Caenorhabditis elegans: one gene and its partners. The protein of the gene in region 3 interacts with the protein of the main gene of each other region in a pairwise test. Each region holds a gene or a part of one and is shown on either strand. Other genes may lie near its edges.

The links.
Region 1: the proteins of mus-81 (region 3) and eme-1 interact in a two-hybrid assay, tested with the Caenorhabditis elegans proteins (one study listed by BioGRID).
Region 2: the proteins of mus-81 (region 3) and him-18 interact in a two-hybrid assay, tested with the Caenorhabditis elegans proteins (one study listed by BioGRID).

Annotation. Positions count from the first base shown.
Region 1 is NC_003279.8:626,373-631,002, reverse strand, and holds the start of eme-1 (ERCC4 domain-containing protein), read left to right. Parts: upstream 1-1,558; coding exon 1,559-1,659; intron 1,660-3,639; coding exon 3,640-3,865; intron 3,866-4,630.
Region 2 is NC_003281.10:4,712,008-4,717,007, reverse strand, and holds him-18 (SAP domain-containing protein), read left to right. Parts: upstream 1-1,819; 5' UTR 1,820-1,830; coding exon 1,831-1,889; intron 1,890-1,963; coding exon 1,964-2,019; intron 2,020-2,070; coding exon 2,071-2,191; intron 2,192-2,235; coding exon 2,236-2,328; intron 2,329-2,375; coding exon 2,376-2,709; intron 2,710-2,754; coding exon 2,755-3,817; intron 3,818-3,909; coding exon 3,910-4,187; intron 4,188-4,235; coding exon 4,236-4,388; 3' UTR 4,389-4,428; downstream 4,429-5,000. Other genes in the region: emb-5 (Suppressor of Ty 6 homolog), read left to right, coding at 1-85, 133-306, 359-1,178, 1,231-1,421; T04A8.18 (F-box domain-containing protein), read right to left, coding at 4,481-4,700, 4,746-4,904, 4,949-5,000.
Region 3 is NC_003279.8:4,263,089-4,267,811, forward strand, and holds mus-81 (Crossover junction endonuclease MUS81), read left to right. Parts: upstream 1-2,020; coding exon 2,021-2,085; intron 2,086-2,131; coding exon 2,132-2,259; intron 2,260-2,319; coding exon 2,320-2,750; exon of another isoform or gene 2,751-3,317; coding exon 3,318-3,638; intron 3,639-3,693; coding exon 3,694-4,086; 3' UTR 4,087-4,150; downstream 4,151-4,723. Other genes in the region: met-1 (Histone-lysine N-methyltransferase), read left to right, coding at 1-693, 1,161-1,238; C43E11.9 (60S ribosome subunit biogenesis protein NIP7 homolog), read right to left, coding at 4,242-4,359, 4,406-4,707.

The DNA.
Region 1 (4,630 bases), 3.6 Mb from region 3:
TAATTATTAGAGCGCGCTTGCAGCGTCTCGCGTTTCTGCATCCGCGGTATTTTGCCTTTCCACTGAAATGAGCAGCTTTTTTAGATTTATCGAATTTTTAGCTTTTAAATTTTTTTTTCTGTTTTTTTCGAACAAACCTTTTGTTAAACAGTAAAAATCGAAATTAAAATGACTAAAATGAACTTTTTTCGTCCACTGGTTGCGAAATGGTTCGAATTTGAAGAAATCAGCGGGATTTTTCGTATTTTCTGAATATTTTTCTATTAAAAATCGGTTTTAAACCATTTTTTGACCCTAATGTTAAGTCAAAAATGTATTAAAACCAATTTTTAATAGAACAATATTCAGAAAATACGAAAAACCCCGTTGATTTCTTCAAATTCAAACCATTTCACAACCAGTGGACAAAAAAAGTTCATTTTAGTCATTTTAATTTCGATTTTTACTGTTTGACAAAAGGTTTGTTCGAAAAATACAGAAAAAAAAAATTTTAAACCTAAAAATTCGATAAATCTGAAATATCTGCTTTCTTCAGTGGAAAGTCAAAATACCGCGGATGCAGAAACGCGAGTCGCTGCAAGCGCGCTCTAATAATTATTCGGCTTTGAGGAGAGCGTGGGCTCTGCACCTGAAAAATCGGAAAAAAATCCCCCTTTTCTCATGAAAACCAACCCACCTTGTTACCTTACATGTTACATACTGTCGCGACAGAACGATCGCTCCGCCAATTTTGCATGCGGCAAAGGGGCGTGGTTTATTGGGGGCGGGATTCCGGCGCAACCCTGCGGCACGCTTTTTTCTCGCTTTTTTCATGCGGTAATTTTCAGTTATTTTTATTCGTTTTCTGTTCGAAATTTCACGATTTCGCTCGATTTTGTTCGTTTTTTCGGATAAAAAAGTGTCTATTTTTAAATGAAAAATAACCAAGTTTTATCAGTTTTTACTTGAAAAAATGCTTCGTTTGTCTCTTTTTCTGTAATATACGAAGCAAAACGTTAAAAAAACGCTTTCTCTTCACATTTTCCTTTTTTTCCCCCATTTTCTCTCTTAACAATCGTAATTTACAGAAAGAGAGACCAACAAAGCATTTTTCGGGTAAAATCTGTGAAAACTTGGTTATTTTTCATTTAAAAAATAGTTGGACACTTTTTTATCCGAAAAAACGAACAAAATCGAGCGAAATCGTGAAATTTCGAACAGAAAACGAATAAAAATAACTGAAAATTACCGCACGAAAAAAGCGAGAAAAAAGCGTGCCGCAGGGTTGCGCCGGAATCCCGCCCCCAATAAACCACGCCCCTTTGCCGCATGCAAAATTGGCGGAGCGATCGTTCTTTCGCGACTGTATATTTACTCCTTTTTTCGCTCCACGCTTTGTCAAAAATTTTTTCTTTCCCCCCCCCCCCCTGACTTTTTGAAACAAAAATGAATTTAAATTACACGATTTACACGATTTACCCGAAATTTCCAAAAAAATCCCCAAAATTTTTTTTATTGTAAAAAAATCAATTTAAATATATGATTTTCTACAAAAAATCGATATTTTCCCACTATTCAGATGGACGAGGCGATTGTAGTCCTCTCGGATGATGATGATGATGAGGACTGTATTATGATTGAGGAAACGACGAATGTGACGGCGGGAAATTTGGAGAAATTGTGAGAAATTTCACAGAAAATCGATATTTTTAAAGGCGCATGGACTTGGGTCTCGCAGCGAAAGTTGTCTGGATTTTTCGAGTTTTTAGATGATTTTTTAGCGGAAAATAATCGATTTTTCGAAAGTTTTATGAGAAATTTGAATTTTTCGCAGAAAAAATCAGATTAATTTTGCGAAATTTTGATGTTTTTACCGGAAAAAGCCGAATTTCGATTAAAAATTTAACAAAAAATCGATATTTTTAAAGGCGCAGGGACTTTCAGGAGCCTTGGGTCTCACAGCGAAAATTTTGGGGATTTTTCGAATTTTTTAGATGTTTTTTAGCGAAAAAACGACAAAAATAGGTTTTTCCAGAAAAAAAAAATCAATTTTTCAAAAGTTTTATGAGAAATTTCGCTTTTTCGCACAAAAAATCAGACTAATTTCGCAAAATTATGATTTTTTACCGGAAAAAAAGCCAAATTTCGATTGGAAAATTTAACAAAAAATCGATATTTTTAAAGCCACACGGACTTGGGTCTCACAGCGAAAATGCTCTGGATTTTTCGAATTTTTTAGATGGTTTTTTTGGCGAAAAAACGTAAAAAAAGAGAAATTTGAATTTTTTGCACAAAAAATCAGATTAATTTCGCAAAATTATGATTTTTGCTGAAAAAAAAAACCTGATTTCGATTGAAAAATTTGAAAAAAATCGATAATCTTAAAGGCGCATGCACTTTGGGTCCCACAGCGATAATTCTGTGGATTTTTCAAATTTTTTAGATGTTTTTTTAGCGGGAAAAACGGAAAAATTAGGGGTTTTCTTTTTAAAAAAATTGATTTTTCAAAAGTTTCTTTGAGAAATTTCACTTTTTCGCAGAAAAAATCTGATTAATTTCGCGGGAAAATTTAACAAAAAAAAAACGATATTTTAAAGGCGCAGGGACTTTGAGGAGCCCAATTGGGTCTCACAGCGAAATCTATTTTCGCTGATTTTTTTTCCAAAAAACTAATTTTTCAACGATTTTTTTAAAGAAAAAATTAATTGAATTTCAAAATTTCAGGAATTTTTCAACAAAAAACTATGGAAAAATTTATTTTAAAAGTTTAAAATTTTGAAAATCCAAAAAAAATCAATTCACAAAAAATCGAAAATTATTGATTTTTTCCGAAAAAATTACAAAAAAATCGATAATTATTGATATTTTACAAAAAATTCACAAAAATCGATAATTATTGATTTTTTCCAAAAAAAATCACAAAAATCGATAATTATTGATTTTTCCAAAAAAAAAATCACAAAAAATTGATAATTTTTGATTTTTCCGAAAAAAATCACAAAAAATCGATAATTATTGATATTTTACAAAAAATCACAAAAATCGATAATTATTGATTTTTCCAAAAAAAAATTCACAAAAAATCGATAATTTTTGATTTTTCCGAAAAAAAATCACAAAAAATCGAAAATTATTGATTTTTTTCAAAAAATTCAAAAAAAAATCGATAATTATTGATTTTTTTCAAAAAATCCACAAAAAATCGATAATTATTGATTTTTTCCAAAAAAAATCGAAAACTATTGATTTTTTACAAAAAATCCACAAAAAATCGATAATTATTGATTTTTTTCAAAAAATCCACAAAAAATCGATAATTTTTGATTTTTTCGAAAAAAAATCACAAAAAATCGAAAATTATTGATTTTTTTCAAAAATTCACAAAAAATCGATAATTATTGATTTTTTTTTTCAAAAAATCGAAAATTATTGCCTTTTTTCAAAAAATCGATAATTATTGATTTTTTTTCGAAAAATTTCCACTGTTGTTACAACAAAAGTTTAAAAATTTGAAAATCCAAGAAAAAAAATCAATTTTCGTTGTGAGACCCGAAGTTTTTTGAATTTTCCAATCGAAATTTATCGATTTTTCCGATTTTTCCCCATCAAAAAAATCGATAAAAACCGATAAAAAATCAATAAAAAATCGATAATTTCCAGGTACTCCGCGAGCTTTTCCATCGTCGACGCAGTGAATAAGGATGCAATTCCAGCTGCGGCAAAAACATGGCTGGATGAGGGAATGCTCAATCTTGACGAAATGATCCGTCAGAATCAGACGAGCTCATACTCGTTGTGCTCAAGCTCACAAGAGAATACTGACATAAATGTCGTGGCGAGACCCGAAAAACGGAAACTAACCGACGATGAGAAGGAGACGCAGAAAGTATTGATTTTTTGATACATTTTGCGATTTTTTTGGAAAATTTCACCGAAAAATCAAAAGTTCCATCGCAAAATTCGAGAAAATCTATTTTTTTTGGGTCTCGCAGCGAAAATCGATTTTTATTCCGAAAAAAATTGTTAAAAGTTGAAGAAAATCTTAAAAATTTGAAAAATCCTCTAAATTTTCGAGGTGGGACCCAAAATATCGTAATACCAAAAATATTTTTATACCAAAATATTTTTTCTGATTTTTCAATCGAGAATTGGTTTTTTTCTCGCGAAAAAAAAACTGAAATTTTTACGAAAACTGAAAAAATTGTTGAAAAAACAATTTTTTTTTGATTTTAGACAATTTTCCCTTTAAAACTGTCAAAAAAATACGTTTTTCAGCGAAATTTTATCCAAAAAATTTGAAAAATCCACTTTTCGCTGTGAGACCCAGGAGAGCGCATGCGCCTTTAAAACTATCGATTGTTTTTTTGAAAAATTGATAAAAATTCGGCTTTTCCGCCTAAAAATCAATAATTATCGATTTTTGTGATTTTTTTTGGAAAAAATCAATAATTATCGATTTTTGTGATTTTTTTTTTGAAAAAAATTAAAAATTATCGATTTTTTGTGAATTTTTTGTAAAAAATCAATAATTATCGATTTTTTGTAATTTTTTTTTGTAAAATATCAATAATTATCGATTTTTTGTGATTTTTTTTTAAATTAAAAAATTATCAATTTTTTTGTGAATTTTTTCGGAAAAAATCAATAATTA
Region 2 (5,000 bases), on a different chromosome or scaffold from region 3:
ATATAAAGATCTTCGGCAACCATTCCAAGAACCTACCGGAGAGCTTTTGTATGATCTTTTGGCTCGTTCAGGAAAAGAAATTAGAGTATGTTACTTGTAATAATTCTGTCGATTTTATTTTTATTTTTGCAGGAAGGAGCTAAAGTGTTGGGAACAGTTCAATCTGTGCAGTACCGTAAAGTTGACAAAGATGCAGCAGACAGCATGTTACCTGATGTTGGAGAAGATGGTCTTTTCACTTGTCCATGTTGTAAATCGTTCACATCTTCGGCTCCTGGTGGAATTCAAGAACATATGCTCGGTGACGTAAGTTTTTCTCAACTAATACTATTCGTTAACCAATGTTAAATTATTTCAGTCTCGTCAAGGTGGATGTCCTGGAACACCAGTCGGAATTCGAGTCAGATTTGACAATGGAATGACTGGATTCTGTCCGAACAAGAACATCTCATCAAGTCACGTAGACAATCCATTAACCCGAGTCAAGATAAATCAGCCATATTACTTCAAAGTTCTCAAGTTGGACAAGGAGAGATTCTCACTATTCCTAAGTTGTAAGAGTTCGGATCTGAAAGAAGATGATTTATCTCAACGTGATCAGTACTGGGATGAGCATCAATACCAAGCTGATTTGGAACTGATGAAGAGTGAATCGAAAAAGAAGACAGAAGCAAATACACGTGTGAAGCGAGTAATTGCGCATCCAAATTTCCATAATGTATCCTACGAAGCTGCTACGAAAATGTTGGATGAAATGGATTGGTCTGAGTGTATTATTCGTCCATCGGCTAATAAAGATTCTGGTCTTTCTGTGACATGGAAGATTTGTGACCGCGTCTATCACAATTTCTTTGTCAAAGAATCCGCAAAGGATCAAGTTTTCTCCATTGGTCGGCAACTCTCAGTCGGCGGAGAAGATTTCGAGGATCTTGATGAGTTGATTGCTCGATTCGTTCAACCGATGATACAGATCTCTCACGAGATAACAACTCACAAGTACTTCTTCCCAAATGGAACATGCGAAGAAACAGAAGCAGTCGAGCAATTTGTACGAGAGAAGAAACGAGAGCTGGGACGATCTCCGTACGTATTCAGTGCATCCTACAGACAGCCATGCCAATTCTGTATTTCTTATATGTTCGATAATACAGAACGGATTCGACATGAATATTTCAAAAGTGAGTTTCGAAAAGAGATACGAACAAAGTTTTCAACTATTTTTGTTTACAGTTGTCCCACATGGAGTCCGATTCCGACATCAAAACTTTGATACGCTAGATCGAATGATGGCTTGGTTCAAACGCCATTTCCACGAGCCTCCCATCGAGTTAAGGCGATCTGCGATCCCGGCTCCACAGTATCGAGTTGGTGCTCCTCCAGCAGCTCCATACTATCCTCCTCAATTCGTCGGCTATCACTGAAAACCCTGATCTTATTCTCTTTATTACCCACACCTTATCAGACACATTCAATCCTGTTTCCTTTGTTCCAGTCTATCAACGATGATCTAATTTTAATTTATAGAATACAACATCCATCTGTCTTAATCCCACATAATTTGTTTTGATTTCGGTAATCCGTTCATCCTCGATTTTTACTTTTCAAACATTTTTATATATCTATCAAAATATTTATTCAAGCAGTCATACTGTTCATGAGCTCTTTCTGTATTCAAGTACCATTTTTGTTGTTTACTCAATAAATTTCGTAATCAGAATCACTGCTAAATCATCACGAAAAAACGTAGAATGCGTTGATCACAATTGATATTGGAATAAGAATTGCAAATTCAGTTTTAGAAGAAAAAAAAGTATTCTAGATTCTACTCATATGAATGATTCATCACTAAAAAAGGCACTGTCCCAAAACTCGATCTCATCCGCGCCAAGGTAGTAAGGTTTTTGTTTCTGTCGTATCTATTTAACCTAAACGTAAATTAAAAAATATCTGTCTTTTTTTCTAGGCGTCCTCAAAAACTTGGAAGTGTGCAGAGTATTGTAAGAAATGAATCTGACAAAAGTAAGTTTCAAATCAAATTTCCCAATTAAATCAATTAATTTACTTTTTGAGATGTTCCTTCTCCTTTCGAAGAGATCACACTGAGCGACGATGATGAAGAAGCACCGGCTAAGAAACCTGTAAAATGTGCGACGTGTGCACGAGATATGACTCTTTGGATGAATTCCAGAAGGTTTGAAATATTATTTGTGTTTCTTCTCACTGTTCAAATTTTAGAGATATTCATGTAAAAGTTTGCAAAGCGAAACAATCAGAGAAGGAGAAGGAAACTACAAGAAAATCGAAAACACTCACCGAAACCATAGAAAAGTTAGTTTCAGTAGAAGGATATTCTGTGATGCAAAAACATATTTCAGAGATGATCAAGTTTATGAGAAGCCATCTTCAAAGACTCATCTATTTGAAAAACCTTTCGAAAAACCACAGGAACTTCCAAAATCATGGGAGCTATCGAAGAACAACGTGAAATTTGCACGAATCGCTGAGGATGATGAGGAAAACCGAAAACGGAAGCGTCCTCGATCGTTTGCAGTTGTGGAATTGGCACCGAAAAAGTGTCAATGTGAGGTTCTTACGACACTTCATTCAAGATTTATTGACGAGTTTCACAGTAAATCTATCAAAAATCAAAAGAAACGAGAGGAAGGAGTGACTGAGCATGCGTTTCAAATGAAGAAAATGATTGAAAAAGTAATTTTCTAGTTTATTATAATTTAAAAAAAATCACTTTTTCAGATTTCCCGATACGAACAACTCTCATCTGACATGCAAAAAGTTCTTGATGACAATTCTGAACAATTACCAACTCACATTTTCATTACCTGCAGTGATGGTCATCGTGTAAAATGTCAGACAATGATCTTGAAACATCGGACATCACTTATCAGACTGAACCCTAAATCTGAAAATATTCAAGTCGAGCACACAAAAGAAGTTGTGAAAGCATGGATTTCATTTGTATTCACTGCAAATATCGAATGGAATGATGATGATAAGGATGGTGTGAGGGATTTGGCTTCGAAGTATGGACCTGTAGGATTAGACTTGATTGTGAAAAATGATAAGGAGGAAGATCTTGAGAAAGTCGATGATGTTGAGGACGTGGTAGAGCCTGAAGCTAAGATAGATTCTGTAGTAGCTGATCCTGTAGAAATAGAGCCAACTGCGTCTCATAGCGACCCAATCGAACTTGATAAATCTGTGAACTACTTCACATCTGATGATCCTTTCTTTGGATTCGGAAAAGCTGTCGAAAATGTGGAAGATGATGCAGAACAAATCATGGAAGATAAACCACATGAATCAGTACACTCTACTCCACAGAAACCAACTACTAATGTGACAATGGATTCATTCGATGAATGGAGCAATCAACCGTCTACAAATCTTCCAACTACATCCAATGTCATTACTCCAATCCGCAACATTACCTCAAAAGCTGTCTTCGGATCCCATGTCAAAATTCTGAAGACCAATGATATAACTCCAATGCCTGCATTCGATTCAATGGAAGAAGCAGAATTAAAAGAACGAATGAAAGAGATCGGGATGCGGCCAAAAGGAAAGAAAGCGATGATTCAGATTCTGAAGAAAGCATATATCACATTACATCCAGAAATTTGCTCAGGAACACCTACAATTCGTCCGCTTGTCAGATCTGCAAGTTTAGAAAAGGTTTCGGAACAAGGAGGAAAGGGTGGAAGGAAAACAATCAAGACGAAGACATTAAGTGAAAGAATGATTGCATCGCCGAAGAAAGTTTCTCCTAAAAAGCAAGGAGTCAAGAATGCTATTTCTGGTGAGTTTATTCATTTTCAATTAAATTGAAAAATTGCTAGACATTTTATCTAGTTGCTTTAGAAGGATATTAATATTATATAATAGTTTCAGATGAAACTTCCAAAAATGTATCCAATGTTTCCGATGATCTGGATGAAGATAATGATGGTGATAAAACATTGAATATATCAAATGACGAGCGAGAAGTTGGAAAAATTTGCGGTGATGACGTTGGAGACGATGAAGAAGATGATGATGATATGTCAGCTTCCAGTACCAGTGGCAAACATGACTTGAGTGCATTGAAATTGGCATTTTTAACATGGCTTCGAAGTGATCAGAATACAGTTTTACATGAGCACATTCTCTCACTCCAACCTGTATCCTTGGTTAGATTCCAAAGTTTCCACAACTCTTTGTTTATTGTAAATTTTCAGGAAGAAATGTTGATTCGTCTAGAGAAAGCTGACGGCCCACTTGGAAGGATTGGAAAAGGAAAACTGGTGAAATTACTGGAAATGCTGAAAATCACGTACCAACTTCCACAGAAGACGGGAAGAGCACGTGGCGGCTACAAAAGAAGACTATAACAATTTTTTCCATGCAATTTTATGAAGAGATAATTAGGAATATAATATGTTTTCACGGAAAATCAGAGAAATTCAAAAAATACAAAAAAAAATTAGAATTGAGTTTCGTTAATTCCTGATCTAGTTCTGTAAGTAATTAATCCATATTCGTCAATTCTTGGAGCACATCCAGTATTCGCGAAGAGTACCATTTTATCCCGAATGTACAAATGTGCAATCTTTGTTGGATCCAAGGCGCTGTACACTACATATCTTACCATTTTTACAGTTTGCACTGGTTGCGGCTTTTTCGGGTTCTCTTCAGCAATACAGCTGAAAATAAGAAATATAAAACCTTTAGAATGTCTAAATTCTAACAATTTAGGTCCATATTTAGCTTCAACAAACTCCACAATTAGTCGATCAATCACTTCTTCTACTTCCAATTCGAGATGAGTACTTATAGCCCACCAACAGAACTTATCGGAAACACCACCGTGTGCCCATTTGTCAATATAGTCACGCATTCTTTCTTGGCTGGAAATTCAGAAATTTATAAAAATTAAAAATCTATAATTCACCTAACAAAAGAGTCATGAAGAATGAGAATTCGAAGATCCTTATCAAGCATTT
Region 3 (4,723 bases):
AACGAAGAAGAAGCTAAACGACAAGAGGCACTTGCAAAGACGAAATATGTTTGGGCGATTGCAAAGTCAGAAGCTGGAGAGACGTATTACTACAACAAAATAACAAAAGAGACGCAGTGGACAGCACCAACACCAGTTCAAGGTCTTCTCGAACCGGCTTGTGGTGCATCTCCTGATACTACAGTTGTCATTGCTGACGAGATTACTGAAGAAGAGCAACAAGCTGAAGTTCTGGAGAAGCCGCGTGTTGTTAAGGAAGAAGTTATCGAGCCAGGTTCACAATCTGAAACTCAAAAAGAATCTCCGGAGAAAGTTCGAGTTGTTGTACCGAAAGTTGAAGTTGAAAGATCACCGTCGCCAAAATCTTCTCGTGATCGTGAGAAGGATCGAGAGAAATCTCGTGAGAAAGATCGTGAAAGAGATCGTGACAGAAGAGAAGGTTCAAAACATCGTGATAGTTATCATGGACATCGAAACGGCAGCAGTTCTGTCAGTGAACGACGTATGCGAGAGTTCAAACATGAGCTGGAACGATCCACTCGATCTGCCGTTCGTTCTCGTCTACAACATCAACGTGACGCTTCTAGTGATAAGACTACTTGGCTTATTAAGTTAATATATCGAGAGATTTTCAAACGAGAAAGTGCGCAGAGTGGATTTGATTATCGATTCAGTGAGAATACTGATAAGAAGGTAATATTATGGACCAAAAAATAAACAATTGAAAAAAAAACCAAAAAAATCTGATGCTTGAATTTAAAAAAAAACAATGAAAGAGTGCAATTTTTTAGGTTTTTTGGTCTTTTTTTTTGGAAAAACCAAAAAATAAATTTTTTTCCAAAGTACCAAACTTCATTTTAAAAAATTTTATTTGACATAAAAATTGATAATTTAAAACTAATTTGAACATTTTTCCGCAAAAATTATAGATTTTTCTGCCAATTTTAGATTTTTAACGTTTTTTTTCGGACAATTAATGTTTCGAATCATCAATCAGAATGAATATGATATCTGATGAAATTCAAAAATAATGCAATTTAAATAGAAAACGGTACAAAAGTTTTGAAAAATTTAGAAGAATTCTAAAAAAAATCCTGTCCTTCAGGACAAAATTCAACCTTTTTCTCAAAACACAAAAATTACTTTATATTATTTTTCAGGTGAAAAACTACGTCAAGTCATATATCGACCGAAAACTCGAATCAAACGATCTCTGGAAAGAATACTCTCGGCCATGAGCTTTATTTTTTAATTTAAATTTTATAAAAAAATGTTTATGCTTGTTTTTTTCTCTATAGTTCCCTCCTATCCCCCCCCTCCCCTATCGCCTAAAAATTGATCTCTGTCTGATTTCACCGATTTCCGTTTTATTTGATCCCATTGAACGAGTATATCATCATGTTCCTGAACTTCAACGTTCGCACATTTTATTCCCCTAGTTTTATGTCCCCAGAATTGTTTTATACTATCCTGTAATCCACCTCAAAATGACAGCCATGAAAAGCTGTTTTTCATGTTTTCTATTTTCTTGTTGATCGTATTTGCGCCGCTCTTTGTCGCCAAATTTTTTTTTGTAATTAAAAAATGAATTACGGATGTTGAATTTTTAAATTTATTTTTTTAAAGAAAAATTGTGGAAGTTTTTCAGATTCTATACTGCTTATTTTTACGCTAAATTTTTTTTCGAAGTCCCCTTTTTTCAAATCGAAGTGTAACTGCGCTCCACGATCAATAGAGACTCTCCGCCCTCGAACCATGGGTCTCGTTAGGTATTTGGCAGACTTACCGTAAATTCAAATGTTTTATTACTTCGCGACTAATTTTTTTATTCATGACTCAATTTTTTATCAATTCCAACGAAAAACTAATTAAAAACAACGGAAAACATAACGAAAAATGCTTGAAAATTGCAGACATTTCCGAAATTAATTAAATTCCTAACGAGACCCATGGCTCGGGGGCGGAGTGTTTTCGATTAGCCATGGAGCGCGTTGAGATATTCCTAAATTTTTCTATTCAGATGTCGAATCAATCAAAACGGGTCACAGTGAGAATTGAGCATTCGAAGAACACTTTTTTCGAAAAGTAATTTTCAAATTTTGATCCAAAGAAATTATTCGTCAATTTTCAGAGTTTTAAAATTCCAACATCAAGAGCAAGAAGATCGGAAGCTCAAATATGTTCTGCACAAAGCTCACGAGAATCTGAGAAAGTGCCCATTCGAGATTCTGACAATTGTTGATTTGAAAAATGTGCAGGGTATTAATAAATAAAAAAATCGAATTCCAGATTTTTAAAATCTATATATTGAATTTTCAGGAATCGGAGAGAATATTGCTCTAAAATTGGAAGAAACGTGGAACGTCGCCTGCCGAGAGAACAATGGCCAGGATCCAACTCTACGAAGCATCAAAAAATTCACGACAGACGATTATCGCCGGTTCTTAACAAATCGAAAATCAACAACAGAACGGATGAAGGATGCGAAAAGATTGGAAAAACAGAAATCAACGAAAACCATTGTTGATATAGAAAATGAATTCGAATCGGATGGAGATGATGACAAGCAACCAAGTGTTCCACTCACTAAAACGAAAAGCTTTCAAGTTTCGAAGCCCGTCCAGCCGAGCTTGATACGATCACAAAGTGGAAATCTTTCGTCTTCTTCGTCTACTTCCTCATCATCATCTAATTCATCAGATCCATTATCTTTCAGACTTCTCACTTGTCGACCTTTTGAGCAGCCAACTGTTAGTATTTAAATCTAATTTTTGCAGAAAAGGATTCCAGAATAGAAAAAAATCGGCAAGTAATAGAAAATCCAATGGAAAATTAAAAAAAAAAGATTTTTGAACTCCCTCCGAAATGAGAACTGTCCGACCAATCAGCGAATAGCTCCGCCCCAGCAATCAGATGGAGTGGGCGGAGTTGGAAGACGCTTATTGGTTGGCTCGCGAGATTTTGCGGTTTTTGCATACGGTACCCGATCTCGAAGCGACTAATATTCAGGAGTACTGTAGCTCCCAACTCCTAATAAGTTGCAGAAACTTCTGCCATTTTTCATAAGTTTTCGTCCGTTCCTTCGAAATTTATCGAAAAAGATTTTGAAACTTGAACATTTTTGAGCTCGAAAAAAAAACATTTAACAATATTTTTTAAAAACGATTAACAAAAATATGCAAAAATCGTTGCAGTGCAAAAAGTGAAATACCAACAAAAAACCAAATTTTCATCAAAAACCCAATGTTTTGGTGTCGAAAAAATGGTCAGCTATTTACTCCACCTTCAAATTAAAAAAAAACGAGGTATTTTTCCAGGTCTATCTAATCGCAGACAATCGTGAGCATCGCAACAATCCACGTTTCAAGTCGGTAATCGAGCATCTCGTGAAAAAAGAAGATATTCGAGTTGATATTCGTTCTCTTTCCGTTGGAGATTACATATGGATTTGTCGAAAGATTGATGGAACTGAGATTGTGATGGATTGGGTTGTAGAACGGAAAACTTGGGATGATCTGCAATCAAGTATTCGTGGAGGTAGATATGATGAGCAGAAAGGACGATTGAATATGGCTCCGATGAAGAATCGAGTTTATTTGATTGAAGCTCAACATAAAGGAGATGTTGCTTGCGAACAGGTAGAATATAGAATTAGAATCTGATGATTTTTCAAAATTCTAACAAAAATTCCAGGCCGTAGCATCAACTCTTTCCAATGGAGGATATCTTATTCAAAGATGCTCTGATACTCGAGACACAGCTGCATTTCTCAAGGAAGTGACGATTCGTTTGCAGAACAAAGCGGCCATAGAAGAAATTTCGGGTGTTCCATTCAGCCAACTCCAGAATCTTCTCCAGAAAAAGAAGGCGGAAACTGTGAAAGAAGCTTGGGTCCGACAGCTGATGGTTTGCCCGGGAATGTCTCAGAATCGAGCCGAAGCAATTGCCGATCGATTTCCATCCATGGTATCCCTGCTTTCATATTTTCGTGCAAATGGAGACGATGCACCGATTCGACTTCTTCAGCTTTTACCTCAACTAACTAGGCCTATTACTCGTAACCTTTTCAAATTTTTTGTTCAATAAGTGAATCCTGAATGAATCAGAATTAGATTGAATTTTTTATAATTGAATGAAAAATTTTGAAAGGAAGACCAACAAAAACAACATCAACAAGAGAATAACAATGAAAAATGAAAAATTGTGGAATTTAAAATTTTTGAATGGAGACCAAAATCCGATTAAGCGAGATGACTCTCATTTCTGAGATACTCTCCAAGATCGCATTGATGTAGAACGACGAGAGCAGTTGGATCGGCACGCTTACTGTCTGATGTTCCTTTCGCTGACACTCCGAATCTAGAGAAATATATTTAATTAACTTGAATATTAAATGTGAACATACCCCAATGGAACATCGGTCATCGAGTATACGACGATTCCAGCATGAGTTGGAGTTCCGTCGGTCATTCTTGCGATTCCAGACTTGAGAATGTTGTTTCCGTAAAGGAATTGCTGCTCGGCGTTCGGCTTCAGCCACACCTTGAACTTGGCATACGGCGCCAAATAGTCGAGAGCGGTGATTTGGAGATGGAACTTTTTGCTTTTGGTGAACTTTCCCAAGCAAGTTCCAAAAGAGAGAAGTGGCTCACGGGCAATGCAGGCGGCTTGACGCATCAGATTTTCCGAACAGTAATAGACACGTTCCTGAAGAACAAATCGA